3 linked regions of the Caenorhabditis elegans genome follow. The protein of the gene in region 1 purifies or fractionates together with the protein of each later gene. This does not show direct contact. Each region holds a gene or a part of one and is shown in the gene's direction. Other genes may lie near its edges. The genes, in order: T22F7.1, Y60A3A.25 and R193.1.

Evidence for each region.
Region 2: the proteins of T22F7.1 (region 1) and Y60A3A.25 fractionate together in Caenorhabditis elegans (co-fractionation; one large-scale study listed by BioGRID). This does not show direct contact.
Region 3: the proteins of T22F7.1 (region 1) and R193.1 fractionate together in Caenorhabditis elegans (co-fractionation; one large-scale study listed by BioGRID). This does not show direct contact.

Annotation. Positions count from the first base shown.
Region 1 is NC_003281.10:537,593-549,166, forward strand, and holds T22F7.1 (Major facilitator superfamily (MFS) profile domain-containing protein), read left to right. Parts: upstream 1-4,473; 5' UTR 4,474-4,534; coding exon 4,535-4,737; intron 4,738-5,297; coding exon 5,298-5,552; intron 5,553-5,604; coding exon 5,605-5,731; intron 5,732-6,287; coding exon 6,288-6,487; intron 6,488-7,129; coding exon 7,130-7,522; intron 7,523-8,427; coding exon 8,428-8,782; 3' UTR 8,783-8,945; downstream 8,946-11,574.
Region 2 is NC_003283.11:19,985,230-19,995,951, reverse strand, and holds Y60A3A.25 (BZIP domain-containing protein), read left to right. Parts: upstream 1-1,758; 5' UTR 1,759-1,773; coding exon 1,774-2,016; intron 2,017-2,970; coding exon 2,971-3,109; intron 3,110-3,156; coding exon 3,157-3,297; intron 3,298-3,347; coding exon 3,348-3,421; intron 3,422-3,530; coding exon 3,531-3,932; intron 3,933-3,982; coding exon 3,983-4,081; intron 4,082-4,506; coding exon 4,507-4,674; 3' UTR 4,675-5,219; downstream 5,220-10,722. Other genes in the region: sri-67 (G protein-coupled receptor), read right to left, coding at 5,448-5,493, 5,611-6,035, 6,092-6,439, 7,813-7,968; clec-260 (C-type lectin domain-containing protein), read left to right, coding at 9,639-9,734, 10,277-10,333, 10,589-10,663.
Region 3 is NC_003284.9:1,151,271-1,159,485, forward strand, and holds R193.1 (uncharacterized protein), read left to right. Parts: upstream 1-3,677; coding exon 3,678-3,736; intron 3,737-3,839; coding exon 3,840-4,096; intron 4,097-4,143; coding exon 4,144-4,318; intron 4,319-4,366; coding exon 4,367-4,370; downstream 4,371-8,215. Other genes in the region: R193.6 (uncharacterized protein), read left to right, coding at 47-105, 157-235.

The DNA of each region.
Region 1 (11,574 bases):
CACACCAAAGTCACGTAACACTAAATTAAGCAATATTTTGTAAATCTACCATCTACTTTGTAAATCTACACACAAATTCCTTAAACCTGCATACTTTTTCCGTAAATCCACAACTATGTTCCCTCGTAAATCTGTATAATGCCCTCGCAGTTTCAATCAGCTTTTCTCAGTTAGTTTTTGATTTTATTCTTTGATCAAATAACAGTCAAATTTTTCAGAAGTCATCACTTGCACACGAGTTTTGTAAATGACTTTTCTTATTATTTTCCGGTAACTAAATGTGTCAATCAGTTCCTTCCGTGTCATCCTCTCCAAGTTTTTTTTTTAATTTTCTGTCGGTAGTTTGACCCCCATGTGCATACTTTGTGCATTTGATTTTCAAAGGAAATGTTTTATCAAAAACTTTTTTTTGTTTGAACTTTTCTGAAAATTGATGTCATTTTAGAGATAGGCGTCTGTGCAAATGTCGATTCTAAATTGTTTTGCAAAATTAAAAATAGTTTCAATTTCGAGAGAATGTTCTAAGTTTTCACTAAAATTAGTAGCATTCGAATCGTATTTATTCGTAAATCTACACGATTTTTTGTAAGTCTCCATCATTTTCAGTCTTAAAAATTTTCAAGCCAATGCACATTTGTACTTTAGTGACAGACCTAGTCGTATATTTACATCAAACTCCGTAAATCTACACCAATTTTTCAACATTTTTTTTGCAGAATCCTAGGCTCGAACTTATGTCAATTGTTTTTTTTTCAAAAATTACTAAAAAATTTGAATCAAACTCAATTTAAAAAATTCAAAATTCGAAAAATTTAAATTTAAAAAAAAGTTGCAAAAATTCCCAGTTCAGTTGGAAAAATAAATCTTTAAAAATTGAATTTTGTTTAGTTTTTTTCAAACAAAAAGTGCCATTATTCCGAAAATATGTAAAAAATTTGTCGCAGAAATCAGTGAAAATTTGATAAAAAATCCAGTTTTCCAATTTATCGTCGATCTAAAGCACCCCGTAAACCTACAAAAGGAAATCCACACACGTAAATCCACACTTGTAAATCTACACAAAACTCCGTGCATTTTTAAATATATTCCAAAGATCAATTTTAGTCAAATCAGATTTCCAGTAGAGGTTCCAGTGCAGCTGACGGTTCGTTCTTTCATTAATTAATCTAATAATCAAATAAACATTTTAAAAAAGTTAAAAAATAAACACCAAAGTTTCCGAAAATTTAAATTATAGCTTTAAAAATCCCTACATCACAATTATTTTTGCTCTCGTGTCGTCATTATTAGCTATTTATTTCTATCAAATACGCCCCGGGTGCACAGCTAAACCAAAAAACCAATAAAAATTGCCGAGTTTATCTAAACGAAAATCGTTTAAAAACCACTATTTGTTTTTGAATTTGAAAAAAAAAATTTGAAGTTTTTGAGAAAAATGTAACTAAAAATTTACAAAATTTATGTCGCAAATATCCGAAAATTGAAATTTTTACACTAAAATCGCAGTTTCTAGTACTTTGAATAAAGTAGGAAATCTAATGCAAATTCGAAATAAAAAAAGGCATTTTGTTCAAAAATCGCAAGATTTCTGTGGAAAAAGCATTTTCGGGCAAGTCTCAGTTTATTGTACCTTTTATGTCCGAAAATGGACCGAGACAAGAAAAAGCAATAATATGCTCCGCCCATACATTGGCTAATTTTCGCAGTATTTCTACAGAATACGAAACTTTGGTACTTTACAAAAAATTTCTTTCAATTATTTTTGAATTTTTTCGCAAAAATAATTTTTGCTATTTTAGTTGAATTATCATTTTTGGTTAGGGAAATTTATGTCAGGAAATCCCCTAAAAATTTAAAATTTAAATTTAAAAAAATTAAAGAAAAATTAATGTTTTTTTCAAAATTAACAATGTTTTTAAACTAAAAAAATTAAAGTTTCTAAAACGCAAAATCTGAGTTTTTCTACGAAATTTTGAACTTCTATAAATAAAAATTAATTTTTTTTGTTGAAAAATCTCATTATGAAACTAGGTCTTTTGGAACTTTAGTGCAATGAAACAAACTTAAAGATTGTAATCTCTCAACTCAACCTTTGATAGTTGATAATAATTTATTTACCTTCACTATACATATTTCTGCAAGCTCAAAAATTTCAATGACACAGAAAAGGGCACAATTCTATCTGAATTACGTCGAAATGTATTTTCTTGGAAGTTTTTAGGGTAATCGAGGTGAATATAAACGCCTTGTTCGCCGAAATCATCAACTTTCTTTCTCGTTTTCCCCACACGAAAATTGATATGCTGATACTTTGATTCTTCTTTTTGCATTTGGTCACTTCCCATTCAAATAGCTATGCAAATACATATATGTGTATGTTTATAGAGTCTGTAAAATTGATAATAGTTAAAAGGACAATTGATATTTTGATATTGTGTTTTGGTAGGCATTTTGTGAATTTTGCACTTTTTTGTTGGGAATTCTAGATAAAATTTGGTAAATCTGTGGTAAAAATTTTTTTGAAATTAACAACGCCAATTGCTCTCCAAATTTATTTTTTCAAAAGCTGCCTTAGCTAACGAAAATATGCTTCTTACGTACTACTTTATAAAAGTTTTCAATTTTTGTTCACTTTCATGTTTGAGAAATTGAAATTACCAAATGCTCTATGCAGTACCTCAAAAAAATACTAGAGCTATTGAAAATAAATTTTAGGCCCAATTTTTTAGGTTACACGTTTACGTTCATGTTCTAGGTTTTAAGAAAAATCAAGTGTTCTGTCAAAATTGACAATCCCATATGCTCTTTGCAATATTTCGTGAACTACCAAAGCTATTTAATAATTAACTATGTAAATACATATGCGTGTATGTTTATAAAGACTGTAAAATTGATAATAACAAAAAGGGCAATTGATATTTTGATATTGGAGATGTGTTATCATTGTGGCAAACTATTTTGTGAACCTTGAGCGTTTTTGGTTTTAGCACTTGCTGGAAAATTTTAGAAAATTTCGATGGAAGCAAAATTTAAAATATAGCTTTAAAAATCCCTACATCACAATTATTTTTGCTCTCGTGTCGTCATTATTAGCTATTTATTTCTATCAAATACGCCCCGGGTGCACAGCTAAACCAAAAAACCAATAAAAATTGCCGAGTTTATCTAAACGAAAATCGTTTAAAAACCACTATTTGTTTTTGAATTTGTGCAATTTGCCGATTTGTCGATTTGCCGGAAATTTTCATTTTCTTCAGATTTGCCGGAAATGTTTAGAGGGATTTTTATAAGACGGAAAAAAGTGTAAATGCCAAACACTTTTTGCAATTGCCGTTTTTCGTCAAGTTGGCAAATTGGTAATTTGCGGGTTTGCTGATTTTCCGGCATTTTCCGATTTGTCGGGAATTTTCTAGTCAAAATTTCCTCATCTCAATAAATTAAATTCTGCAAACTCTCTCATGTGACTCTTTTCCAACTTCCCACCTGCTGACTCTGAGAAACACCACACCTTTCATTACTTCTCACACCCCCACACAGTCGTATATATTGGCTAGAATCACTGTAAACTTGTTATCTTGGTAACGTTTTAGTACTTGTGCTAACCAATGGAATGCGGAGGACATTAATATAGATTCTTGAAAGACCTTTGACCATGTGGGTGGTGGTTTCATTATGTTTTTAGTTTGAGCTCTATCTGAACGTTACATCAATTTTAATCATTTTTTCAGTATTTCTTTTTGCGATCATTTTTTTCCATTTATTTTTTTTTCATCCTAGAAATTGGCTAAGATTTAGATTATAAGATTATTATTTATGGCTTACTAATTTTCGTTACGTCAAAATTTTTTGCCAAAATGCAGAAAATTGACCTGAGCGCGGTTTAAGAACCAACTATTTATTATAAAAATTGTGAATAAAGAAAACTTTTTTCAACCTTCCAACGAATTCAAGAGTTTTCAACATTTTACTGTAGCGCTACTGTAGGCGTAATGTTGGACTACTGTAGTTTTTGAAAAACAGTGCTTCTGTGCTGCTCATTTTACATTATCGAAAAACACGATCGCAAATTTTCCACAGAATTTATTTTTGATCTACCGTGTTGACATACAGTCACAACAAAAACAACAACGGCAAAATGATTAGGTGTTCACTTTTATAGCCACTAATATAAAAAGCGAAATAGCACAATTGAAAAAATTAAAAAAAAAACGATTGGAAGCAATTTTAATAGGCAAGAAATAAAACCGTTTGGTGGGGAAAAATGTAATTTTAATTTTTTTTTTCTTCTCTGTATGAATTGCCGCATTCTAATTGTACTTCGTATTCTTGTTTGTTCCTAGCCACGTTTCTCTTCTTTGAATGTGTACTTTGATCCTTTTTATTGCACTGATTCTACCCCTTTTGCTCTCACTTGTTGATTATGCAACTTTAAACCCCGATGATAATTTTTATAAACTCTTCATAAACTTTCAGAAATCTCCTGGAAAATTTGCATAATCGGATGAAACGGCGGTGTGTTGTGTGACAGGTCCATATGAAGGCATCAGAAGAAGAAGAGGAAGAAGTTGTGCATAGTGGAGGAGGTTATACATCACCACTAATGTCATCACTTTCTGATGCTTATGATGATGGAGAAGAGCATCAGAAGAAGAAGAAAAATTATGGATTGGTTCAAGTGGAAGAAGGTGGACAAGATGTTATTTCCAGTGTGGAGGAGCTCCTGAAAGCCACTACAGCGTGAGTTTTTTTTCCAAATTTATAGACTTTTCAACAAGGCTCAAAGCAGCGGTGCTCGAATTGCCGGTTTGCCGATTTGCCGAAATTTTCATTGTCGGCAATTTTTTGGTTTGTCAATTTTTCGAAATTTTTTTCCATTTTTTAAAAAGATATTCTCATAGAATTTGCTTTCTGTTCATAAAAATGATTTTGCCGATTTAAATTGAAATGCTGAAATTTTCAAAAAAAAATGTGTGAATTCACAAGCAAATTTTGGCAAATCGGAAACTGCCGGTTTGCCGATTTTCCGGAAAAAAATCGTTTGCCGTCCACTCCCTATTCGAAGCCCATAAAATTGCTCGAAAAACGGTCTTATTTGCACTTTTGATAATTTTAAATGGTTTCGAAAAGAAAAAAAATAATATTGAAGCATTTTTATTGACCCTCGGTGACTGTGACTGTGACAAAAACCAATGTTTAAATAATTCTAGAGCCATATTTTTAGACACAAAATTTACTTAAACGGCTTTTGAGTAGCGGAGTGCAATCAAAACCCCCTTTAAAATAATTATTTTTTTCAGATGGCGCCCGTATCCCCTGTTCATAATCTGCTCCATGTCATTCCTCTGGTCTCTATGTGCTCTCAGTGCAATTTCGCCAGCTTTCACTGCTCCGGCCGGCGATGAATGTACAGAAAACTGCTCGTTTTACACAATTCAAAACGAATTCAACCTAACCTCCAAGTTTTTTCTCGTTGAGCCCGCTGAATTGACAACTTCTATTTATTTTTTGGGAAATCTGTTGATTGGACAGCTGTTTGCAGTTGTAGCTGATAGGTGAGATTTTTCAGATTGATTTTTATTTTTAAAAATTCCTATAAAATTTCAGATTTGGCCGCCGTCCAATTATTATAATATGCCTTCTTCTTACTGGAATTGTGGGTTCTCTAGGATCTCTTGCCCCGAACTTTCCGCTACTTCTTGTCGCAAGATTTATACAAGGATCCTGTTATACGGTATGGGAATTTTTGATGTTTTTAGGTGCTCAGGCTTGTCGGGTATGCCCAGGGGTGCGCGGCAATTGCCGTTCGGCAATCAAGTTTTTGGCAATTTCGGCAATTGCCGATTTCCGCAAATTCACAAAACGGCAATTGCCGAAAGTTTCCAAAGCCGGCAACTGCCGAAATTGCCGATTGCAGAAAATTTCCAAACCCTGCAATCGCTGAATTTGCCGATTTCCGGAAAATTTCATTTTCGGCAATGCCGAAATTCCCGGTTGCCAACAATTTCCAAAACCGGCAAGTGCCCAAGATGCCGATTGCCGGAAATTTTCATTTTTGGCAGTTGCCAAAATTGCCCATGGCCGGAAATTTCCAAATACCGGCAATTTCCAAAATGGCCGATTTCGGGAAAATCTCATTTTCGGCAATGCCGAAATTGCAGATTGCAGAAAGTTTCCAAAACTGGCAATTGCCGAAATTGCCGATTGCCGGAACGTTCCTCAGTATGCCTGCCTACCACCTTCTCCTTTTTGCCTTCAACCATAAAATTTAAAAAATCGATATTTTGCAGCCCCTGACAACAGTGAACTACGTGTTAAGCGGTGAAAGTATTCCACATCGATCTCAATCATTAACATCAATATTTTTCGGAGTCTCATGGGTATGCGGTTATTGTTTTTTGGCTCCATTATCTGTATGGTTTAACACGTGGAGAAGTCTTCAATTGGCAACTGCTCTTCCCAATATTTTAGTCGCTGTGTTTCTGATGGGGTACGTTCAGCGGTGCACGGAAATCGGAAATTTCCGGTAATCGGCAATTCCGGCAATTGCCGGTTTTGTGAATTTCTGGCAATCGGCAATTTTGACAATAGCCGAAAGAAAATCGACCCAAAATTTGAAAATTGAATTCCCCGCCAAGATATTCTAAACAATCAAAGTGTCAGTGTCCTATAAAAATTGCTTTCAAATTAAAAATTTAATTTCCCGCAAATATTTTTTGAAAAATTAAAAAGTTGAATTCCTTGCCACTTTTCTGAAAATTTTTAATTACCTATAAAGTCGATGAACCTTGAAATCTTGCGCTGTAAGACCCAAATTCTTATAGTTTATTTTTTTGATATATTCATTTGGACACAAAAAAGTGGCCCCATTTTTCTAATCGAAAAAGTATGCCATTAAAGGGACGGAGCCTTAAAAATTAAAAAAAAACCGCCCATTTTCAACAATGATTAAAAAAAAATTTTTCCTGTTTTTTTTGAAAAAAAAAACTCTTAGAGTCGGTTGAAAATTCATGCCATTAAAAGGGCGGGGCTTAACGAACCAGAAAAATTTAGTTGTAAAACCGCTATTTTTCTAAAGAACAATCGTACTTTATACAACTTTTCTTAAATTTTTAAAAATGTTTTCTTTCAGAACGCTCCCGGAAAGTGTCGGCTACTCAATCGAAAAGAAAAACCGGAAAGCTGTTCAAAAATGGATCAAACGAAATGAGCTGCTCTCCTGTAAAAAGCTCAACTACGATCTCGACATGATTATGGAGAAAACTGAGAAAATTGCCACTTCATCATCGCCGACACCACAAAATCGACTGACAATATTTGAAATGATTCGTGAAATTCTGTCGGATCGGGAGATCACACGCCGAATCATCGTCGAGACTTTTCTCTGGATTCTCACTTTTATGACGTACTGTGCGCTGTCACTTACATCCACATCTGTCGGAAATTCGGATCCGCTGGTGTCGTTTTTGTTTTCGGGAGTCGTCGAGTTGCCTGCCTACCTCTTCATACCGATATGCTTGACGAGGTTAGTTGTTTTGCCGTGGGGCGCACTTGCAGAGTCACGCAAGTTTTTTTGGGGGAAATTCCGATACCCTAGTGTTTATACTTTTCTGAGAACGCAAAAAATTCGAATTTTTCAAGTTGCTAAATTGACCGAATGACTTCACCATTAATATTTTCGTGGCGGGACCCGATATTTCGTTTTGGAAAATATAAAATTTAGAACCCCATTGTAACTATACTTTTCTGAAAGCGCAAGAGGCGCAGAACTGACCGAATGACGTCACAGTTGATACTTTCGTGGTGAGACTCTAAATTTTAAAATTTCACCAGACGTTGCGTTGCCTGAGTTGTGAAATATCTGGCAACTTGTCATGATTATATTTTTTTCTGAAAGCGCCGACAATTTGCAATTAAAAATGTATACATTTTCCGAATTGCTTACAAATTGACTGCATGACGTCACCGTGAATATTTTCGTGGTGAGACCCAAAATTTTCGAGCCTATTTGTGTCTATAGTTTTCTGAAAACACAGAGTATGCGGATTTTGATAATGTGAGAATTTTATGAAAAGTGACTAAACACGTCACTTTTTGTGGGTTTTATGGTAGGCAGGAACTTTTTTCTCTGCCTGCCTACCTGCCTATTTTTGTATTATTGTAGTGAAATTTAGTTATTCGATTAATCTGTTGGAAGTTTAGTGTGTATTTGGCTGTCGGTCTCCTTGAAGGCAGGCAAGGTAGGAGTAGGTCGCTTTGAAGGCAGGCAAGCTAGGAGTAGGCCGCCTTGAAGGCAGGCAAGGTAGGAGTAGGTCGCCTTGAAGGCAGGCAAGGTAGGAGTAGGTCGCCTTGCAGACATGCAAGGCAGGAGTAGGTAACCTCGAAGGCAGGTAATAGAAAAAACTTTCGTATCTACGTGTAAACTTGCAGAACAAAACGTCGCCCAACCCGTTTTCTGTGCCATTTTACTGGCTCAATGGCCCTTCTCACAATGTATTTCTTGTCAAACGACACATCGCTACACCTCATCATTTGGCTCGTTGCCAAGTTTTGCGCCTCATGCTGTTACATTTTCTGCTTCATCTACGCTGCCGAGCTGTTTCCGACGTGGTGCCGGTCGTGCTGTATTGGGGTTTGCTCGACATGCTGCAATATTGGAGCAATTGTGGCGCCGCACATTTTTCTGATTGATTCGGCGGCTCCTGGAGCACAGTTTTTGGTGCTAGCAGCAGTGGGATTGTTGTGCTCTGGGCTTACGTGGTGCCAGCAGGAGACCAAGGTTTAGGGCTTTAATTAATATTATTTGAATTTTTTTATGATCACCCAGTGACAAAAAAAGAAAAAAAAACGAGTTTTCAGACGTGTATTTGTGTTTTTTTGTAATATTTTGTAATATTTTGTTTTGTGATAAAAATCCCCAGTTTTGAATAAATTAAATTATTTTTTTCTCCCAATTTTTCTGAAATTTGGAGTGATTATTCTACGTAGGCAGAGTAATGCCTACCCGCCTACCTTCAAGGATCTAGCGGAATGACCAAAATAGGCGGTAGGCAAGGTAGGTGCCTGCCTACCCTAAAGCTATTTTTCTAAGCTTTTTGACCTAGAAAATTCTCCGAATCCCAAAGAGCTCTGAATGAGCTTATGACTAAATATTTCGGCGTCATGAGAAACTGAAGTTCGGTTTTCTCCGTCAGAAGCTGAATTAAAAATAATTTTTGTGTGCAGTATAAGTTCAAACAAAAATAGCAGGAAGTTCGACATTTAACTTTTGATCGTTTTTTTACTTTGGCGCAATTTTAAATAATTTAATTTAACAATTTTTTAACTGAATTGCCAAATTTTAGCTAGAAATTGAATGTTTAATTATCTGAACAAATTGGCTGGAAACTCAAAATTTTATCTTCTACCCATTAAATCGACATACTGAAATTTTGCACTGCGAGCAATTTTGAGCAGAGCCCTACTAATACCCAAGTTTTAGTAGGCTCTAACATTCCAAAGTTCTCGAAATCCTAAGCCCGACGATCTTTTGTACTACCTGCAAATATGTATATTCCTTTTATTATTCTTTTCTTCTTGGTAGTTTTCCGGTTAATCGGTGTAGAGGGAAGGCAAGAGGTGTGGAGGGATAGTAAAATACTGAAGATTTGCCCATTTTTCTCCGACTTTAGCCGCCCTTGCCTTTCCGCTTTTGTTAGTTGAAAACGGTGAATTAGTCCTTTTTTCGTCTTGTGTTGCCTGGGTCTTGTCTTTTTTGATTTTCTGAAAAGTAGTATATGTAGGATTAAATAAATCCAGAAATGCGCTACTTTTCGGCAATTGCTGAAATTGACGATTGCAGGAAATTTCGAAAACCGGCAATTGCTGGAATTGCCGGTTGTCGGAAATCAAAATTGCCTGAAATATAAACTTGATAACCGAGAAAGTTACATTAAAACTGTAGAATTCATCAATACGTTCTATAGCGCGGCAATGACCGGTTGCCAAAAATTTCCAAACTGGCAACTACCGAAATTGCCGATTCCTTAAAATTTCCAAAACCGGCAATTGTCGAAATTGCCCGAAATTTCCGATTGCCGTGCACCCCTGAATAAATCCTTTATTACTTTTAAAAAATAATTTTTGAATAATTTAGTCTCATTTCTAGGCTTTTCCATACTTGCCCTATACCTAAAGGCAAGTGTGGAAAGTTAAGGCAAATTAGGTGGTAGGCAGGCGTTGACCTGGAAAACTGAAAGTTATTCATTTCAATCTAGATTAGGCAATAACTGAACCTATGGTCATTTTGCAATGTTGCCTGTCATCTCTGCAACGATGAGATTGCAATCGAAAAATGCGTAAAGATCTGTAATCTCGGTTGATATATTAGCATTATGATAATATAAGCATGTTATATAAGATTTTATGAATTGAGTCATCATTGCTTTTCAATTTAAAGGAACAAGTTTCCAAGTTAAATTGACGGTTTTTATACTTTTGGAGCCTATATTTCGGTACCCGTGAATTTCCACCAATAGTGGATTTTAGAAAATTGTTTAAGAAATGTTGTTCTCGTCTTTTACCGGAGTGTCTTTTTTTGGTTTGATCTACATAGATCTACAAAAAATGCGGGGAAAGAAACGCAGAGTTCTCAACTGATTTTGCATGGTTAAGAACGTGTGCTGACGTCACATTGTTTTTGGGCCAAAAAATTCCCGCATTTTTTGTAGATCAAACCGTAATGGCATAGCCTGACACCACGTGAATGGCACAAAAATCTGTTGAACCGTGTGAAAGCCTCAATTTCTCATGCAACCCTTTCGTTCCACCTAAATTGCCTGAAAAGCTGTAAAAATTTGGGGCGAAAATCAGTAGGTGATATTATATCAAAATCAATTTCTAATTAAAACTGACATGCATATTGGCTTCATCTCCTTTTGTCGGCAGATAAATATACATTCTCAAGTAGACACACCGCCCGTATTCACATATATCTTTTCACTTTTGATCTCTTCTTGTTCTTCATCCCTCAGGCTTCTGGCATCTCAAGTGATCGAGAATTCGGAATTCAAAGGTTTTTCAAGAGGCTGTAGAAGGAATGAATAATATGCAAATTGTTTTCTTTTACCTCTCCGTCTCTCATTTTCCCGTACTATTTTGGGTGTGTTGACCGTTCGGATAGTCTGCTCAACTCGAGCGTTGTATATGGTGGGCTCAATGAGCATGCGACTATTGTTCTTGCAGTTTTGTATCTACTTTGCTTATGTTTTTGTAATTTAAAAAAAAAGAAAAATGATGTTTTTGGCGGAATTGAATTTGACATCACAGTTTGCTCATGTCTCAAAACTAGTAGAATTTTTACGAATTTTTTATAAAAACGTCAGATGTGACGAAACAAAATTTTATAACTCATATTGCTCAAGAGCTTAAAAATTGCAAATTTCCGCTGTTTTTAGTGTCCTCGACCGCTTTTGTAGAATTTCTTTCCAAATAAAATGGTGTTTTTTTTCTGGCCAAATAAAAACTGACAGCACATTTTGCTCTTGGCTGGAAAAATTCAAAAAAATTAAAATTCATTTTTTTTCCAAAAATGTGTAA
Region 2 (10,722 bases), on another chromosome or scaffold:
AGGATTTATTTCAGGTAAAAAGTAGTACCCTCAACTCAGAGAAATGATCGAAAAATTAGTATTGTATTACAAGCGATAATTAACACAACTTATGGTACTTGTGTATTACATGCCCTGATTTTTAAATTAAATTTAATGTTCATTAATTTCTCCATTTGAATTAAACGTGATATACATTTTCTCTTTTTAGGCTTAGAAATTGGTAATTCCTAAGCCTAAAAATGCAAAAGTGTGGTTCACGTTTTTATTTCGCATAACTTAAAAAATTACTACTAAAATGAGGGCATGTAATACACAAGTACCCAACTTTTTTTTAGACTTTGAATGTTCTGCGCTTTTGGTTAATAAGAACCAATATGGAAGCTACAATAGTCGTCTTTATTTACATTGTTATTTACAGGAGGTGCGGTCCACGGCTGGTACAGAATATTGTGCTTTCTCCTTATATGTTATGTTAAGTACAAACTTTTTTGAATTGAGTGGTGGTTACCAAAAAAAAAATTATATTTTTGTCAGAAACACGGAAAACAATTTTTATCAATTTTCATCATTGTCATCGCATCTGTTGCCATTTTCTCCTCTTTTTAACTCATTTATTACTTTCCCTATCAATTTTTCCGCTGGCTATTTTCTATAAAATGTATCTACATTATTATGATTTTTTAATTTTGAAAAAAAAATATTTTTAAATTCCCGTGCAAATGAGTGACGTCATTTTCGACATTTTTTTGGTGTATATTAATGAAAAATAATTTGTTACATTTTCAGATTTTTTTTGCATTAAAAATAGTTGAAATTAATTTTGAATAGTCGATTTTTGGCCCAAATTCAGAGTTTCGTTAAATTTATTTCCCATTGCCAAGTGTTCTCAACGGAATGATGCCTCAAAAATTGACAAACTGTGTTTCAAATTATAAGCCGGAAAACGAAAATATGTCAAAAGTGACGTCACTCATTTGCGAGGTAATTCAAAAATAATTTGGCCCATTCTTTAAATTATGCAAAATTAAAAAAAATGTTATCAATTTTTTATGGTCATATTTGGCCAAAAGGGTCTATTTTGCTGCAACATTTCCATTTGTTCTCTTATCAGCACTCTCTCTTTTCTCAGATGTCAATAGTTGTCGCCTGTCTTTTCTCTCTAAGTTTCTCTTTTGAGTTTGGTTTTTTTCCTCCTTTTTTTAATTGCGATGTCATGTTCATATATTTTTGCTTCATACAAAATATTGTGTTTTCTCCTTAAATATTATGCTAAAGGTGGAGTAGCGCCAGTGGGGAAATCGTCAAAAAACCACTCCTTTGATCCCAAAATGACCAAATATCATGATAAAACTTTTCAAAAAAATTTTGAAAATTTTTATTTACTGTCAAAAAGTGGCAATTACTCAGTTTTTGCCACTCATGATTTTGGAAGTCGACCAAAAAAAAATTTTCTTCGACATTTTTTATGTTTTAATTTTGTTCAAATTGTTTGTATTAAAACATTGTAGGGGTCGAAACATGCGATGTTCCTTTAAATTTTCCCAAAAGCTCGTATTTTTCAAAAAATTTTTTGAGTGTTCTACATATTATGAGCTGGCGCTACTTTTTGAACTTTTTGATGGTATTCATCCAAAAAAAAAATTATATTTGAGGTTTTGAATTTTAAAACTGGAACATATGTTTGTGAAATTCAAGCTTATCAAAGAAGTCTGTTGATAATTATTACTTTTTCTTTATCTCCACCAACTTCCAATAATAGAGCTCTCCATTTAAGAATTTCAGCACTGTCAAATGTTTCCGAGCACGTCTCACCGATTCATTGATGCTGGCACATCTGGAAATGCCCAACGAAATAACAAAGAAGGATCTTCACATAAATTACCCAGTCTTGAAAGTTGGTTTGGAAAGAAAACAACATCAGAAGCCACAGCCCAGAACCAAATTGTTGGAGATAATCCACAGAACAATTCGGTTGGGAACTACTTCAATCAGAATTTAAACGAGGATCATCATGATCACCAGTTTGCGCAGCAGGTTCGTGAACTTATTATCTTTATAGATAAAAAACAGTTAGTCTGTCCGGAGCTTGTAGTATATGTAGTCTTTTTAGTCTGTGACGTCACACCCAACTTCACCAAGAGTTGACCCACAAGTTTTGGCGGGAATTCGAATTTTCTGTGAAAAATTTTGGCGGGAATTTAAATTAAAAAAAAAAAATTTCTGAAAAAACTTTTTTCGGGAAATTCGAATTTTCTTCGAAAATAATTTTGGCGGAAATTCAAATTTTCTGAGAAAAATTGTGGCGGAAATTTAAATTTTTGTGTGAAAATTTGTGGCGGGAAATCAAATTTTTTGTGAAACAATTTAGCGGAAAATAAAATTTTCTAGGAAAATGTTTGGCGGAAATTCAAATTTTCTTTGAAAAATTTTGGCGGGAATTCAAATTTTCCGAGAAAAATTTTGGCGGAAATTCAAATTTTCTGAGAAAAATTGTGGCGGAAATTTAAATTTTTGTGTGAAAATTTGTGGCGGGAAATCAAATTTTTTGTGAAACAAATTGGCGGGAGGTCAAATTGTAAGAGAATCATTTTGGCGGAAATTCAAATTTTCTGTGAAAAATTTTTTCTGGGAATTCAAATTTTCTTTGAAAAACTTTGGCGGGAATTCAAATTTTCCGAGAAAAATTTTGGCGGAAATTCAAATTTTCTGAGAAAAATTTTGGCGGAAATTCAAATTTTCGGTGAAAAATTTTGGCGGGAATTCAAATTTGTTTTGAAAAATTGTGGCGAACATTCAAATTTTTGCATGATGTCTACGAAGCTGTGGTGTGGTGCGGGCGGGCGGGAGTAGCGTCCTCGTGGAAGACCTACTTACGACGTTTGATATGTATTGGGAACTTTAGGCATTTAACTGCGAAAGTTTGAACAATTCTTGTTCAAGATCTAACAAAACGTGTTAACCCTAATCCCTCAATACACATTTTTTCAGAATCCTGACAATGCTCTTGACAATTCACAAACTTGGCACAATCTGGACAGAATACATCAAAATTTTCAAACAATGGACATGCAACCATATCAAGAGTATCAGGACAATAATGAGTCGGGCTGGGTGGATTTGAATAACGGTACGCTACTATTGCCCTGGCTACTCGTGTATGTTCTCGTTATTCAGACAACCAATTCCAACAACCCGACAACAACGACCCAAATGCAAATGACCTGAACTTATGGAATATGGAAACTGGTCCGGGGCAAGTCTTTGAAGCGCCAGTGCTGCCAGCTATACCATGGAACAATGACGACAATTTCAATGGTAAGAATTAACATTTAAAATCTGGTTTCCAAAAAACCCTAACTTTACAGACAATTTTACCGAGGACGACGCGATTTCACAGATCTCATTTGATAGTGAAATCAAGAGTGAAACTGATTCAATGGTAAGTTTTAACTCGCATTTTATACCTCAGGGAGATTAAATTGTGATTGGAGTTCCTTCCATGTCCATATAACTTTTTACGTACTACAATACTATTTAAAACGTTTCAGGTTTCAAGAAAACGAAAAAGAAACAGAGAAGATGCACAGAATTCTTACGACAAGAAGAAACGTATCCGGGATGAGAACGAAACGTTTTTCAAATCACAGAAGCTCACCCATGAAAACCTTCTAAACCAGAATATCTTGAATGAAGCACATTTCCGAACAGCGGTCAAGCTTGTCCTTCGTCCCTGCTTCTCAAATCTTCGCATCATCAAAGTTTACTACACCAATTGTAGTTCAGAGCAAGTTTTTCGGTGCCTAGCAGATTTTGAACGTGATAAAGCAGATATCATCACTGAAAAGGATAACTTGAAGAGACGTGATATGAATCTGGCGAAGCTGAAAACAAGAATGGATGAAACTGAAAAAGTATATGACGATGCTCAGGCTGATCTTGACAACAAAAAGGTGAGTAGATGAGAAATCTATGAAAACATTTGCATTATTTAGATTTTCAGGTTGGAATTCCCCCAGGTACTTTAGCAAGCGGTTGTTTTCGAGCAAAACAGAAATATGAGACGGTGGCTTTTGAACACGGAGCAGGTGAACTGCAATATGTAAGTGAATTTATTGATAAATTGGCAATTTCATTTCAATGGAAAATGTAACGGTTTAGGGTTTCTTCTTAATTAATCAGATAAACTCAAATTGTCTCCATTAGGTTAAATTTAATCATGTGGATTTTAAAACAGGTTTCTGAAAATATTTTAAAGCTGACAGAAAATAGACCCTGATAACCGAATATAACTGTACAAAAGTTCGACAAATTGAGCTGGAAAACGCGAAAATCTCAAAAATGACGTCACTCATTTGCGCGGAACTTAACTTTAATAGAGCTGTTTTTTTTTTTGAAAAATTTTGAAAAATCATAAAATTTTAAAAAATTAAATTTTTTTAACAGCTATATTCGGTTATCATGGTCGATTTTCTGGCATTTAAACCAAAAAAAAAAAGTGTTTTTTCTAACACGCTTTTTTTTCAGGAGTTTTCAAAACAATATCGAATTGCGTCGCGTCTGACTGCATACGGTGGTTGGTTTTATCCGGATGCTCGAAATCTGTTACAACACAATTGGCAGTTTTTATGTGATAACGCAGGACCTGATATTGAACAGTTGAAGGAATTGGCAACATTTCTGGTTACACGATAAGCATCAAATGTATTGATAATCCTCTCACCTTTTCCGATTTTTCAAAAGATTTTTCAAATTTTCAAAAATTAGCTTAATAATTTGGTCATTATTCTTCTTCTTAGAAGAAATTTTAATGTTTTTTCTTATCAATATAAACAAAATTAGATAAAAATTCATATTTTATGATTATTTTTCGATTTTTCGATTTTCAAAACTTCAGAAATCGAAAAAAAAACGATAAATCGGAAAATCGAAAAAATTTGTCCTGTTCACCATCCACAACATATCTTCTCTTAAACTCAAACTTTCATGATACTCGCCTTTTTCTTTTTGTACATCAGCATCATCACTGCAAACTAATTTGTTTCATATATGTATATATATAGATCTATTGTATGTTTATTTAAATTAGACATTTGGTTATAGCATTCTGGTCAGTAAAATGCATTTCACGAATATACCCGGAGTAAGGTTGTTGGTCGGATTTGTCTGGTTGTAGATACCCGTGAGGTTCAGTGAAATCAATATTATACATGTGTTGGTTATATGAAATGAATTTAAAAAAATATGTATTCAAGTTGGCATAACAGCTGGAAGCCGTGTAATTTTTCAGCTGTCGAAAACTTTGGGTATAAAATTTCAGAAAGAAAAAATAAAAAAAATAAACGTCGTTTAATTTTCAGAGCATACATATTTAATTCTGTCATATCAAATGAAAATCATCGAGAAAAATTTTAAATCAATGTTAACATTTTTTTCAAACTTTAGTTATAAAGAAAAATTTAAAGAATTTATCCGCTCTGTGAATGCACATGTACGGAAATTTGTCGGCGATTTCTGAAATTTTATCCCAATTAGCATAATTTGTATAAAACTAGTATGTATTAGTTTAAAATGCAATCAATTTTGATGGCTATCACAGCCAAACAAATAAAAAAAATTTCAGGACCTTACCTCTTAAAGCTTTTCTCCAAAAACCTGCGATACGGCGGTGAGAATATGAGCAACGATATAATATTAGTAGATGAATGACATGAGAACACAACTAACATCAGTTCAGCTATCAATTGTGAGTGCTCCAATCTAAGAGCCAAGGCGAGAGCAAAACACGATGTTGGCGCCGAGCATATAACTGAGACGAACGTCTGAATAACCAGACTTTGAATTGCTTCCCGGTGCCTCTGGTAGTTTACAGCAGAGATTTGAGATTTCAATCGAACCATCATGCGGACAAGGTCCATGTTGAAAAATACCAACAGGGCGATGAGAACTGAAACTTCGATGAATGTTATAATAATTACACCATACAGATAGTTGGATTCTTTATACATTGAGAAGTTAGGTAGGCTTGCGAATTTTGTATAATATTCTGGGGAAGTCTGAACAAAATTTTGTTTGTATTATATTATTTTAGAAAAAAAACTCAATAACTTACCATATTGATATATTCCAACTGCTTTTCCTCCTGAACAGTCAAAAAATCTAATCCGACACATGGTATAGCTGGGAACACAATAGCCATTAAATAGCAAAAGTATGGGATAAACTTTGGAATAACATGAACATCAATTATCACCGCAATTGTTTGATGTTTCTTGAAGAAACACAAAAGTAGGGACTCCATTTCCAGATATGCCCATACTCCAACATTTATCAAACAGTAATGTGCAGAAACATCCAGCCAAAGAGCTAGAATGCCATATGAGGAAATTGCGAACAATGGGTATAATGGAACAATTGATGAAAGAGTGGTAATAGTGATGTCAGCTAGTGAACAAACGACCTGGAATAATGAGGGTCATGAAGAAATAAGCCCTTTCTCAGAAAATTTGAATTTCCCGCCAAAAAAAAATTCTCGCAAAATTTGAATTTCCCGCCAAATTTTTTTTCAGAAAATTTGAATTTCCCGCCAAATTTTTTTTCAGAAAATTTGAATTTCCCGCCAAAATTATTTTCTAAGAAAATTTGAATTTCCGCCAAAATTGTTTTTCAGAAAATTTGAATTTCCCGCCAAAATTGTTTTGCAAAAAATTTGAATTTCCCGCCAAATGTTTTTTTCAGAGAATTGAAATTTCCCGCCAAAAATTTTTTCCCAGAAAATTTGAATTTTCCGCCAAAAAAAAATTTCTCGCAAAATTTGAATTTCCCGCCAAAATTTTCTCTCAAAATTTGAATTTCCCGCCAAAAAAATTTTCTCTCAAAATTTAAATTTCCCGCCATGATTTTTTTTTCAGAAAAATTAAATTTCCCGCCAAAATTATTTTCTCTTAAAATTTGAATTTCCTGCCAAAATTTTTTTTCAGAAAGTTTGAATTTTCCGCCCGCCAAAAAAATTTTCTCTAAAAATTTAAATTTCCCGCCAAAAAAATTTTTTTCACAAAATTTGAATTTCCAGCCAAAATGTTTTTCCCAGAAAATTTGAATTTCCCGCAAAAAAAAATTTTTTTTTAGAAAATTTGAATTTCCGGCTAAAATTTTTTTCAGAAAAATTAAATTTCCCGCCAAAAAAAATTTCTCGCAAAATTTAAATTTCCCGCCAAAATGTTTTTCCCAGAAAATTTGAATTTCCGGCCAAATTTTTCTCAGGAAATTTGAATGTTCCGCCCGCCAAAAAAATTTTCTCTAAAAATTTAAATTTCCCGCCAAAAAAATTTTTTTCACAAAATTTGAATTTCCCGCAAAAATGTTTTTCCCAGAAAATTTGAATTTCCAGCCAAAATGTTTTTCCCAGAAAATTTGAATTTCCCGCAAAAAAAAATTTTTTTTTAGAAAATTTGAATTTCCGGCTAAAATTTTTTTCAGAAAAATTAAATTTCCCGCCAAAAAAAATTTCTCGCAAAATTTAAATTTCCCGCCAAAATGTTTTTCCCAGAAAATTTGAATTTTCCGCCCGCCAAAAAATTGTATCTCTGAAAATTTGAATTCTCCGCCATGATCTTGCAGCGAAAAAAAGACGCAGTTTATCAAGTCCCGCCTACAAAATGGGCGGAGCTTGTATGACCCCTCCCATGAAGTCAAAGAATATTCCAAGCTCCGCCCTTTGTGTGACGTAACTAGGCTCCGCCCATTAATGACGTCGAAGACTTAAAATATTTGTTACTTATAGTAATGATGATGGTTTGAACTCTTCTAGCTAACAATTTAAGCTGTATTTACCTGAAATAGCATTAAATAGTATCGAAAAGCGCCAAGCTCTTTCAACTCAAAGGTTAGTAGGTAAATACCGAACAAATTGATGCACAACGAAACGCCACCAATGGTATGATAGGTGTAGATCAACCAGTGGGGTTCAGTGAAATCAATTTTATACATTTGTCAGGTATATAGAATGAAGAAAAGAATTAGAATCCAGAAAGTTGAAATTGCAATCGACGACGGAAGTATGATTATTCAGCTGTCGAAAACTTTAGGTATGCCATTTTGAAAGAAATCAAATTCGGTTCTGAAGAGTTACGTGTACTTTAAGGTTCCGGAGCTTCCGGAACTAGTCGAACATAATGCGTTATTCGTGAATAAATTTTGTTGTACAGTTGTCAGAGTAATCACAATTTTTTCAGATTTTTTTGTATTTAGAAGGGAACATTTTTCAACTGGAAAATGTCAGTATGATTGCCAGGACAGGAAAAATCTGCAGTTTGCCCGGCTAAAGAGCCTAAGATTGAATAATTTATAGATTTTCCGCTATACTTTTTCGGGTTTTTCCCGTAAAAATCCAAAAAAATCTAACTAGAAACATATTTATGGTTTCTACATTTAAAAAAAATTCGGCACGTGATAATTAAATTGTATGTAAAATTGAAAATTAAACTAGAGATTAAAATAAACGAAAAAAAATAATTTATTTAACGTGACTTACAATGTGGAACTTCTTATCAAGATTCCCATCATTTTTTGTGAAAAATCGATTTTTCAATTATTTCGAAATTTATTAGCACTATAGATTGCAGTTGTAAACTAGTATCAAATGTGAGTTAAACATATTCTATCTATTTCTTGGGTTCATACTTCCATACAGGCTCCAAAACTCGCGATTCTGGCTCCCTTCATTAACTGAAATGCAAGAGTTTGGCGAACTATGCCATTTTGGCTTGAAGGTAGATTTAGGCGCGTTGCGTGTCGCGCCGCGGCTCGCTTTTAGTCTTAAAACTGAATATACTTGTCCGTGTGGAGTACGCAACCTTACCACGCGTTGTCCTGCAGGCGATTGTCAATGGAGCGCGAAAATTGCAATAAGGAAGGCCAGAACCTTATGCCTCAACGCCTGTCGCGCCTACCTTGCACCGCGATTTGCGCCTTTGTATGGAGCGGCGCGGAACCCGAAAAGTGTCGGCCGCGGCGCAGGAACCACCATTTCACTGTATGGTGTGAACATTGGCAGTTGATAATAGTTTTTAATAAAAACAGGGAAAATCGAAATCTGCTGTTTCCTCGGGTTTTGTAAAAAAATTCGAAAAATTGAGATTGAAGAATTTATAGTTTCTATGCCGTTTTTTCATACAATTTATTGTATTTACGTTCTCATTTGAAAATTAAAAATTAATTGAGAAATTAAAATAAACGAGAAATAAAAATTATTGAAAAGTTAATTAATTTAACGTGATGTGAAACTTCTTATCAATATTCCCATCATTTTTTGTAAAAAAATCGATTTTTCAATCATTTCGAAAGATTTTTTACTATATTCAAAGGTAAGTCAAAATTAAGGTATCTTAGCGACGTGTATGTTTTCATGCAGGCGGTAAAACGCCTGCCGCGCCTACCTTGCGACTACCCGCGCCCCCTAAGCGAAACCCAAAAAATGTCGGCCGCGGCGAGAGCGTTTTTTGCGAAAATCACTTCTCCGGGACGATAGAAATCATACCATTTTGGGCAAGTTTCAGACGGAAGGAAGACGGGTGTTATGTTTCCTGAGAAATAAAACAATACACATAAAAATTCAAAATGAAACATTTCCTAATTTTAATTAGATTATTTTCAGAGTAATGGGTCGCCCCACGCGACAAAAACAATCCAATATAAGGAATCTGGCCAACTGGAAAGCCGCGCAGGCTGAAGCGAGGATACTTGCGGAGGAACAGGTTAGTTAGCACTCATGTCTCTAGATACCGCCGAGAAGCAAAAATATCAAAAAATGATGTACTGAAAAACTGAAAAACACAACAAAATCTATAAGATTTGTGCTACGTACACCCATATCAAAATTTAAAAGTGTGATTTCAATAAAATATTATAGATTTTACTGTGATCTACAAATTCTCAATGGATCACTTTCTGATATTTTGCTTCTCGGAAAATATTTTAATTGCCGAATGCATGAAAATCTTGGTTAGCTTTTAGTAACTTGTAACTTGGCACATAGTGATCTACAGCCTTTCCGCTTTGCTCTGCCACCCACCGGCAAGGCATTGACACATAGAAAGGCAGAGGTACACAGAGCAAAGTGGAGGGACTGTATGTCATCCAGGTACTTTTTATACATTTTGCCAAAATCAGGGGCAAATTTAGAGTCATTTGAAAATATTTCCCAGATTTTGCTACGTCATCTTAATTATCAAACAATCATCTCAAATTTGCGTCTTTTTTTTGATATTTTTTTCTAAAAAATGTTAATTTTCATCAGCAACGCGGGAGCACACAAAATCGTCGGGCAACTCTCCCAGCTGCAAGTCCTCGACAGGTATGTTTTTGGAATTTTATTGAGAATTCTAAGAGAAACAAATTTACAATTGCCTCTTTTTTTAATATAATTTATAAAATAAATTTTATATCATTTTTTTGAAAGATAAAGCTAATAAGAGAAAGCCGAAAACTGAAATAAAATAATTTACTCTACTGGAATTTTTAATATAGAAAAAAGAAAAAAACATCAATTTTCAAACAACAAAAAATGTATTTTTTTAGACAATTTTTTCTCTAAAAACATTAATTTTAGCTAAATGGACGTTTGACAAATGGCCCAAGACGCTCTTCGACACCTCGATCTTCAATTGCCACGAGTTCCCAAGCCGTACGTTTTTAATATTAACTAGGGAATATCTTCCACCAGCACGCCTCAATCTGAAAATT
Region 3 (8,215 bases), on another chromosome or scaffold:
TTCCCCCTTCCCAATTTTTAATTCTTCAATTTTTTTCCATGTTCAGGTCATGCAATTCAATGCCAGAACTAGTAATGGTACCTCGTCAGCAACATCATTTTTTTGGTGAGTTTGAACTGAAAATCTGAATCTAGTCGAATTGGAGTTCATTTTCAGGAAACCTATGTTCAATCAAATGCACAAGTTGGTGATTGCAGAGATGGGAATTAAAATTTTCATAATGAATTTGATTTAAAAAAAAAAAATTTTTTTTAATTTTAAACATGCAATGCTTCTTCATGAACACAAAACCCCCGAAACCCAACTGGGCAAAGTTCTTAGGTCACTTCTGATAGATCCACGAGGTTGAGCAAGCTCTACCAAATATATATTTCCAGATTGAGTTTCAAAATGTTCTATTTCAAACGAACAAGCAATTTTTTTTTCTAAAAATCTGAAAACACTTATATTTGTAGTAGAAATACAAAAAAACACATCAAGCCTAAAACACCAAAAATTCATTGAAAGTTTTGGTATATTTCTAGATTTTCAAAAAGTTGTGGATTTCATGCCGATTCGAACCTTAACATTTTCAGTTGACAACTTTTTTCTAACTTTTTGTTTCTTCGAGTTCTGAAATCAAGGTGCGAGACTTTTCGATGGACGTCTACTGAAAACCTTATCATATTGAAGTACAGATCTCAAGGTACTGAAATTGTGCTCCAAGTTTCGTTTAGTCTCCATCATTAGGAAACTCTGCAAAATCAGGGGGACAAATGCATTCTGTTAATATTCATTGTTTTTCTATCACATGGAGATCTCTTAGAAAAAAGTTCAATGGATTACTCGAGCAACACGTTCTCCCCGCAATCTTTCATATCGAAACTCGAGAACCAATCAACATGGGGATACTCTTTGACGAGTTGATCGAATATTCCAGCGGGGGTAGCACATTTCTCAATTTGTGACCACGCTTCACGAATATATCCATAATTCACATCAATTTTCATATCACTTCTTCTCTGAAAACGATAGTTGATTTTTCAAGAGTAAAAAAATAACAAACTCACGAGCTTCATTTTGTTGCTCAACACAACATTCTGTGGCCCTTCAAAGCAATCAAGTCCACTCATGGTGATAAGAGTGTAAATAAAACTCTTGTAATCGTCCCATTTTGTTGGACTGATCCCTGTGCCACTTTGATTGATGCGTAAGCTTCAGCATGCAAGTGTGGATTGAACGGATTCTGCAGATTGAAGTCGGATACGAGCGCGGTGTCGAAGGCACCAATTTTCACACTGTCGAGCTGAAACAAGAATGATTACTAAACAATGATAATATTTGGGTAAACATACAGAGGAATCGAAGAAAAGTGAAGCAGGAGAGATGTTGGTGTGTACTATTCCAAATGTGTGGATCTACTCCAGTTCTTTCAACATAGTACAACCGATCCGCCAGGTGTTCAGGTAACTCAACTTTCGAACATTGTATTCGTCGAAGTATGATTGCATTGAGAACATTTCATCCTTGCTGACTGAAATAAGGTGTTATTTGGAGAGAAGGAAGCTCGAAACTCATACTGATAACACTAAGATTTCCAGCCACAATGTGATCGGTCATCATAGTCGTGTTCTTGTTTCCAATGAGCAGCTGAGAACAAAAAATATTCTTTTCGAAAGCAGAGTTTGCCAACTCGTTTCCAACCGGAAAAGCACAAAATGAATATTGTTCGCCAGTGTGCAGTTTCTCTGACACGGCCTGGATCCCGAAACGACCGCGTTCGACTTTTTCCACAATTCGATGTCCATTTATTATTTTACCGACAGAAATCACCAAGCTGTAATGAAAAATTCAGCAAGGAGATGGCGTTAAATCCAAAAACCAATCAGTCTATCAATGATAAAAGAATGATATTGATTACACCGATTGTTTCATGGATCTAAGGCTCGAAAATTCAAACCCAAGAGAAGCTGGAGTTGGCAGGCGAGGACCACATGGAGCACGATTCATGTACATTACGATGAGCAGTAAAAATGTGATGAGCACAATCAGAAGTTGAATAATCGCTTGAAAACGATAAGTGATTTGAATACCAATTTCTCCGACTTTTATATGCACAAATTTGAACTTTATCTTTGTTTCTGATCTGTTTGTCCTTGTTTTTCTGTTTTTTGAAACAGGTTTTTGTTTTTCGAAACAATTTTTTCGAAACAGATTTTCGTTTTTTTAAACAGGTTTTTGTTTTTTGAAACATGTTTTTATTTTTTGAGACTGTTTTTGAATGTTTTTTCGGCATCCACAGTTGTTTCTGCAACTTGAGGAGGAGGCATAGTCAGACCCGTAAATGTTAAATTTCGAGCTTTCAAGTCAATATATAGGTCAAAAAATTGAATTTTTTATACGTCCATACAAAGGTCCGAAACTTGAGGGGTAGGTATAATCACTCATGCAAAATTTATTTTTTAGGTTTTCACGTCAAAATATAGATCACAGAAAAAACTTTTTTGTACGTGAATACAGAGGTCTGAAACTTGAGGAATAGGTACAATCCGACACGTAAAATTTGTTTTTTAGGTTTTCACGTCAAAATATAGATCACAGAAAAAACTTTTTTGTACGTTAAGCTACAGTTTTGAAACTTGAGGAGTAGGTACAATCAGACACGTAAAATTTATTTTTTTAGGTTTTCACGTCAAAATATAGGTCACAGAAAAACTTTTTTTCTACGTCCATATAGAATTAACTTCATTTTGATACTATCAGCGGTTTTAAAACTATAAAGCAAAATACTGTTTCTTGGCTTTCACAAAGATGACAGCCCTAGTATGGACGTGTGAAACAGGTTTTTGTGACCTGTATATTGACGTGAAAACCTTTAAATTAATTTTCACGTGTCTTATTGTGTACAACCCTTAAGTTTCAGAACTGTAGCTTCACGTATGAAACATTTTTTTTGCTGACCTATATTTTGACGTGAAAGCCAAAAAAATAAATTTCGCATGCCTGATTGTACCTACCCCTCAAGTTTCAGAACTGTAGCTTAACGTACAAAATTTTTTTTTCTGTGACCTATATTTTGACGTGAAAACCTAAAAAATAAATTTTACGATGTCTGATTGTACCTACCCCTCAAGTTTCAGACCTTTGAATTTACGTACAAAAAAGTTTTTTCTGTGACCTACATTTCGACGTGATGACATAAAAATAAAATTTTACGTGCCGGAGTATGTATACTCCTTAAGTTTCAGAACACTGTATGGGCGTACAAAAAAGTTTTTTCTGTGACCTATATTTAGATGTGAAAACCTAAAATATAAATTTTGCATGCCTGATTGTGCCTACCCCTCAAGTTTTAGACCTTTGTATGGACGTATAAAAATTCAATTTTTTGACCTATATATTGACTAGACAACTGGAAATTCAACATTTACGGGCCTGATTATGCCTATTTCTCAAGATTCAGAAACAATTGTGGATGCCAAAAAAACATACAAAAAACTGTCTCAAAAAACAAAAAAATTGTTTCGAAAAACAAAAACTTGTTTCAAAAAACAGAAAAACAAGGACAAACAGATCAGAAACAAAGATAAAGTTCAAATTTTTGCATATATAAACCGAAGAAATCCGTATTCAAATCACTTATCCTTGTCATTCAAACTTCTGGTTGTTGCTTCTGCCGTTGTCATCCCTTACCATCTATGCTCTACAACACGTCTGCTCTCTGTGCTCCAAAACTGCCATCCATCGGATCTCCAATGTTCGTAATTTTTTGCAGTCATGTGAGAATGACTTGTGGAACCAGGTGTTCTTGATCCATGAAACAATTCATGGATGAACCGAAACTGAATTTTTTATTTCAGATCGGTCATCAAGACCGGCGATGTTGTTAGAGACTATTTTATCTGCGATAAGGTGTATCTTGGAAAATTCGGTGTAGAGACAGTGTCGGAAAAAGTCGACGGCGGTGGCGCATTCTCTCTTCAACTGTATCCGACGAACAACGAAATTTCCCGTGTAGCTGCAGAGAAGAAGGTTCTATGCGGACAACTTCTGACCGGCTTCCGTCATTGTACACAGTTCAATGAACGCTTCTCATTTGGAGATTACTACGTGATTGGTACGATTTTCGATGTCACTTCTTTCCAAATAATATTCCATTTTCAGTTTCTGATGAAATGCTCTCGATGGAAACTTATATGGAGGAGTATAACGTCAAGAAGCTTAGCTCCGGTAACGTCTGGCCATCGGGTGCGTTATGCTCAAAGGTCTTCATCATATTCATCAACTGGGCGTTACGCATAACAACTTGGCACCATCGTCTTTGTTTTTTGATACAAATGTTTGTTCACCCAAGTTCAGTATAGTTTCACAGTCATTTTTGTTGCAGTTGACACGCGTTAAAATCGGAGCATTTGATACTGCCACTGTTCACCCCTTGCCAAATACATTCCACCATTTTCTGCATCAAGAAGCTTTCAGTTCAATTGATGTGGCAAAAGGAGAGCGTCCGATGAAAAAAGACGATTATGAAAGCATGATCTACCTTGATTTCTCTGAGTGGTCTGGACATTTTTGACGGCCCTAAGGAGACGGTTTCGCAGATAAAAAGGGATCTCGTGAGTTTGTTTTTTTTTTCGGTCATAAATATTCAGCTATTTTTTTTTGCAGAGACGAGGTGTGATTTCGATTGATAACGGACTTGGTTTTCTGAATTTGATATGAAAGACTGCGGGAGAACATATTCTTCTTATGTAATGTGACAAACAAGTTTGGCTCGAAGGCACGAAATCAAAAGTATACAATATCAAATGACAAATAAATTACTGTAGAAAAGTTGCATGTATTTCTTTTTTGTTCTGCAAGGCTCCTTTGGGGCCTAATTTTTTGATACAATTGTAAATTTGGAAATTATGTTCGTTACGGGTCTCGCAACGATTCGCCAAAGAAACTGAATACTGTGGATTGTGAATAGAAAATTTTAGTTTCGCAACATACGTTTTTTGAATAACTGAATATCAGGATTTCGGGCTATTTGAAAAAATATAAATTTGAATTTCGCGCAACTTATTTTTTTGCAAAATCAAATTAGGAGAGAATCTGTCTGAAAATTCGACGGCGAATGGAATACCGGCCAATGAGTACCTGTAAAAAATGGTTCAATAAACCTAAAAAAAAACACATATTGTTCGGTGCACCATGAGCAATACACCTGAGAATTTTTTGAAAATTTTCTAATTTAAAGGTGGATAGAAAATGGTCCAAAATGTTTTTGGCCACTTGGGTTTTTTTCCGTAACTTTTGTGATAATCTATGTGAAACACCGATTGTCTATTTCGCAGATTTTTTTTGTAAAATAATTATACGTTCACATGAAATTACGACTTTTAGGCCTTTTTTTTCAAGTTTCAGCAAATCTCTTTCGGGATATAATTTTCTCTTAACGGAAAAAAGAAATTGACAACCGGTGTTAACGGCCAGTGGGGAAATGATAAAAACCCATTCATATAGTGTTAAACTCACCAAATATTGTAATATAACTTTTCAAGGCACCTTTTTGAATCGTATCATTATTGACAGTTTATAAGTAGCAATTTCCGATTTTTTGGCATTTCTAGAGCAAACGATTAACTGAATAATTGCCACTTTTTGACTGCCAATGAGATATTTTCAATGTTTTTTTTTTTGAAAAGTTGAAATATATTAGTTGTCCAATTTGGGACCATATATATAGTTTATTACAGCTTCCCCACAGTCGCTACTTCACCTTTAAATAGATTCTGAACAAGTGTCAACAATTTTGTCTCCAGAAGTTTCTTCGAGGTTTCTAAGGGGGGGGGGGTCAAATGTTTAACTTTAGTAACATTTCGAGTCTCACAATTTTTAAAAACCATTCGAGCACACGTCCTCTGTACAAGTACGTGTCGAATGTGGCCGACTTAAGGGTCGAAACTTGTGCACCCGCACTTCCGGTGTCTTGGTGTTTATGCGCACGCCTCGCAAAAAGGTTGCTCATTTCTTTGCGAGTGATGGTTGGGGGTAATTCCAATTTCCCGACGCCTTCTGAATCGGGAAATTTGGCGACACCGACTGCCTCATCAACATCGTTTTCCAGGATGGGTGAGTGTGAGATTAAAAATCAAACATTAGAGGCTGCAACTTTCATTTTGTGTTGGTTTTTGTCTGGAGTTTTTAGAGTTTTTTTTTTCAACTGAAAAAATTCTAAAAATCTGAAAAATCTTCTACATAGTTAGTACCTGAATTGCACTTCACAGGTTCCACTTTTTGATATCCAATTTCACTTTTTGTAACAGAAGCGGAAACTAGTAAGTCATCAAACACCTAATTGTTTACTGATAACTTTTGAAAAGATTTTGAAAAGAAAGAAAGGTTGGTTCAGATTTTGAGAATCCAAAAAAACTCAAGCTGTATGCAAGATTTTTTTTTGAAAAATTTGAATTTGAATTCCTGCTGAAACTCCTTATTTAAAAATATTCTGAATTCCAAACAGTTTCGCCAAAATGTTCAAAATTTGAACGCACACCAATTTTTTTAAAAATTTAAATTGTATTCCCGCCAAAAAAGTTTTTATGAAAATTATAGTTTGAATTCTTACTAGAATATTTGAAAAATTAATTTTGAACTCCCGCCAATTATTTTTGGAAATATGATTTTGATCTCCAATGAAAAATTAATTGAAAAATTGAAAAGAAATAAATTCCCACCAATTGTTACTTGCCAAAAAATGAATTTCAAATTTTCACCAGAATTCTTTAGAAAAAATGAGTTTGAGTTTCCGCCAAAAACTAAAGAAAAAAATTCTCAATTCCTGCAAATTTTTTTTGTTGAAATATAAGGTCTCGAGTTCCTCAGTCAAGAGCGAGTCACGGCAACTCGGTCCAAAACCATTTCTAATTAGTAAACTCTCAAAAACCACAACTAAATAGCTTAAAACCATTGTAAATTAGCTTATTTTTGCTAAGTAGCAATGATTTTAAGCTAATTAGTTGTGGTTTTTGAGAGTTTACTAATTAGAAATGGTTTTGGACCGAGTTGCCGTGACTCGCTCTTGACTGAGTCGACTAAAAAATTAATGATTTACATTTTAATTCTATATCTATTTTTGAAAACAACATAAATGAAAATCTGGAAAAAAAGAATTAACTATTATTAAACATTTTTATGCCATAAGAATCAAAATACCTATGAAATTTCTATATTCCAATTGATTAAAAATTGGAATTTTTCGAAAAAATGACGTCTGTTTTTGGTCCTAAAAATTTTGCAAAAAAAAATATTAAAAAGGACATCCCTGGTGCACGGTAGGCTAAAATTTCGGGTTTCAGGAAACCTTGTGTACATTCTTACAATTCAAAACAGAAACTTAGATACTATCAAGTTTCAATTTTCAAAGAACAAAAAAATTGGAGACAAAAGAGCAACTACAAAAAAAGCGAAAAGATCAAAGAAATGCTCTGTGGGAAAATTATGATGACGGAAGAATCCCTCTTTGTGGCCTGGCTCTGTCAGTTTCCGTGTGATGTGATATGAGTGATATGAGCAACATAAGATAAACGTTTTGTCGCAAAGTTGTCAGAGAAGGAGAGAGGGTCCCCCCACCAAGTGATTTCACAATCACTCAATGTCCTGCTAGTCGTTACGTTTTTGAATTTTTGAGATACCTGCGCTTTTTTGTTGGGTTCAGTATCGGAATATTACTAGATATTGTATTCTGATGGGTTTTAAGACGGCAAGTCATGATCGAAAATCATAGGAGTAAGTTTTTTATTTATCTTTTACAGTTTTAGTGAGAAAAAATTACTGCTATATAATAAGAGGTGGTTAGATTTGTAGTTACCTTATTTCTCCAGAATTATTCAAATTGAGTGTGAATAGGCAGCTAATAAAACTATCCTGAAATAACGAGATTTAAATATTGTTTTCATTTATATTTTTCGAAATTCTTTTGCGTAATTTGCCACAATATTTTTGTAAAACGGATTTTCTATAGAAAGTTAAAGCTTTAAAAATATGTGTTTTCTTGGTAAACAACAGAGCCAAATTGATTTGAAAAAGTTCATTACATATAGTTTAAAATTTGACTATGCTTTTTCCAGCACACACTTTTTGAACTAAATTTTTCACAACTTCACCTGTGACAAATTTTCAAAATTTTCAAATTTACACTAGCCTCTTTCTCGGTCCATTTGTGTCCACGTAGAACATCTCGCAATTTGAT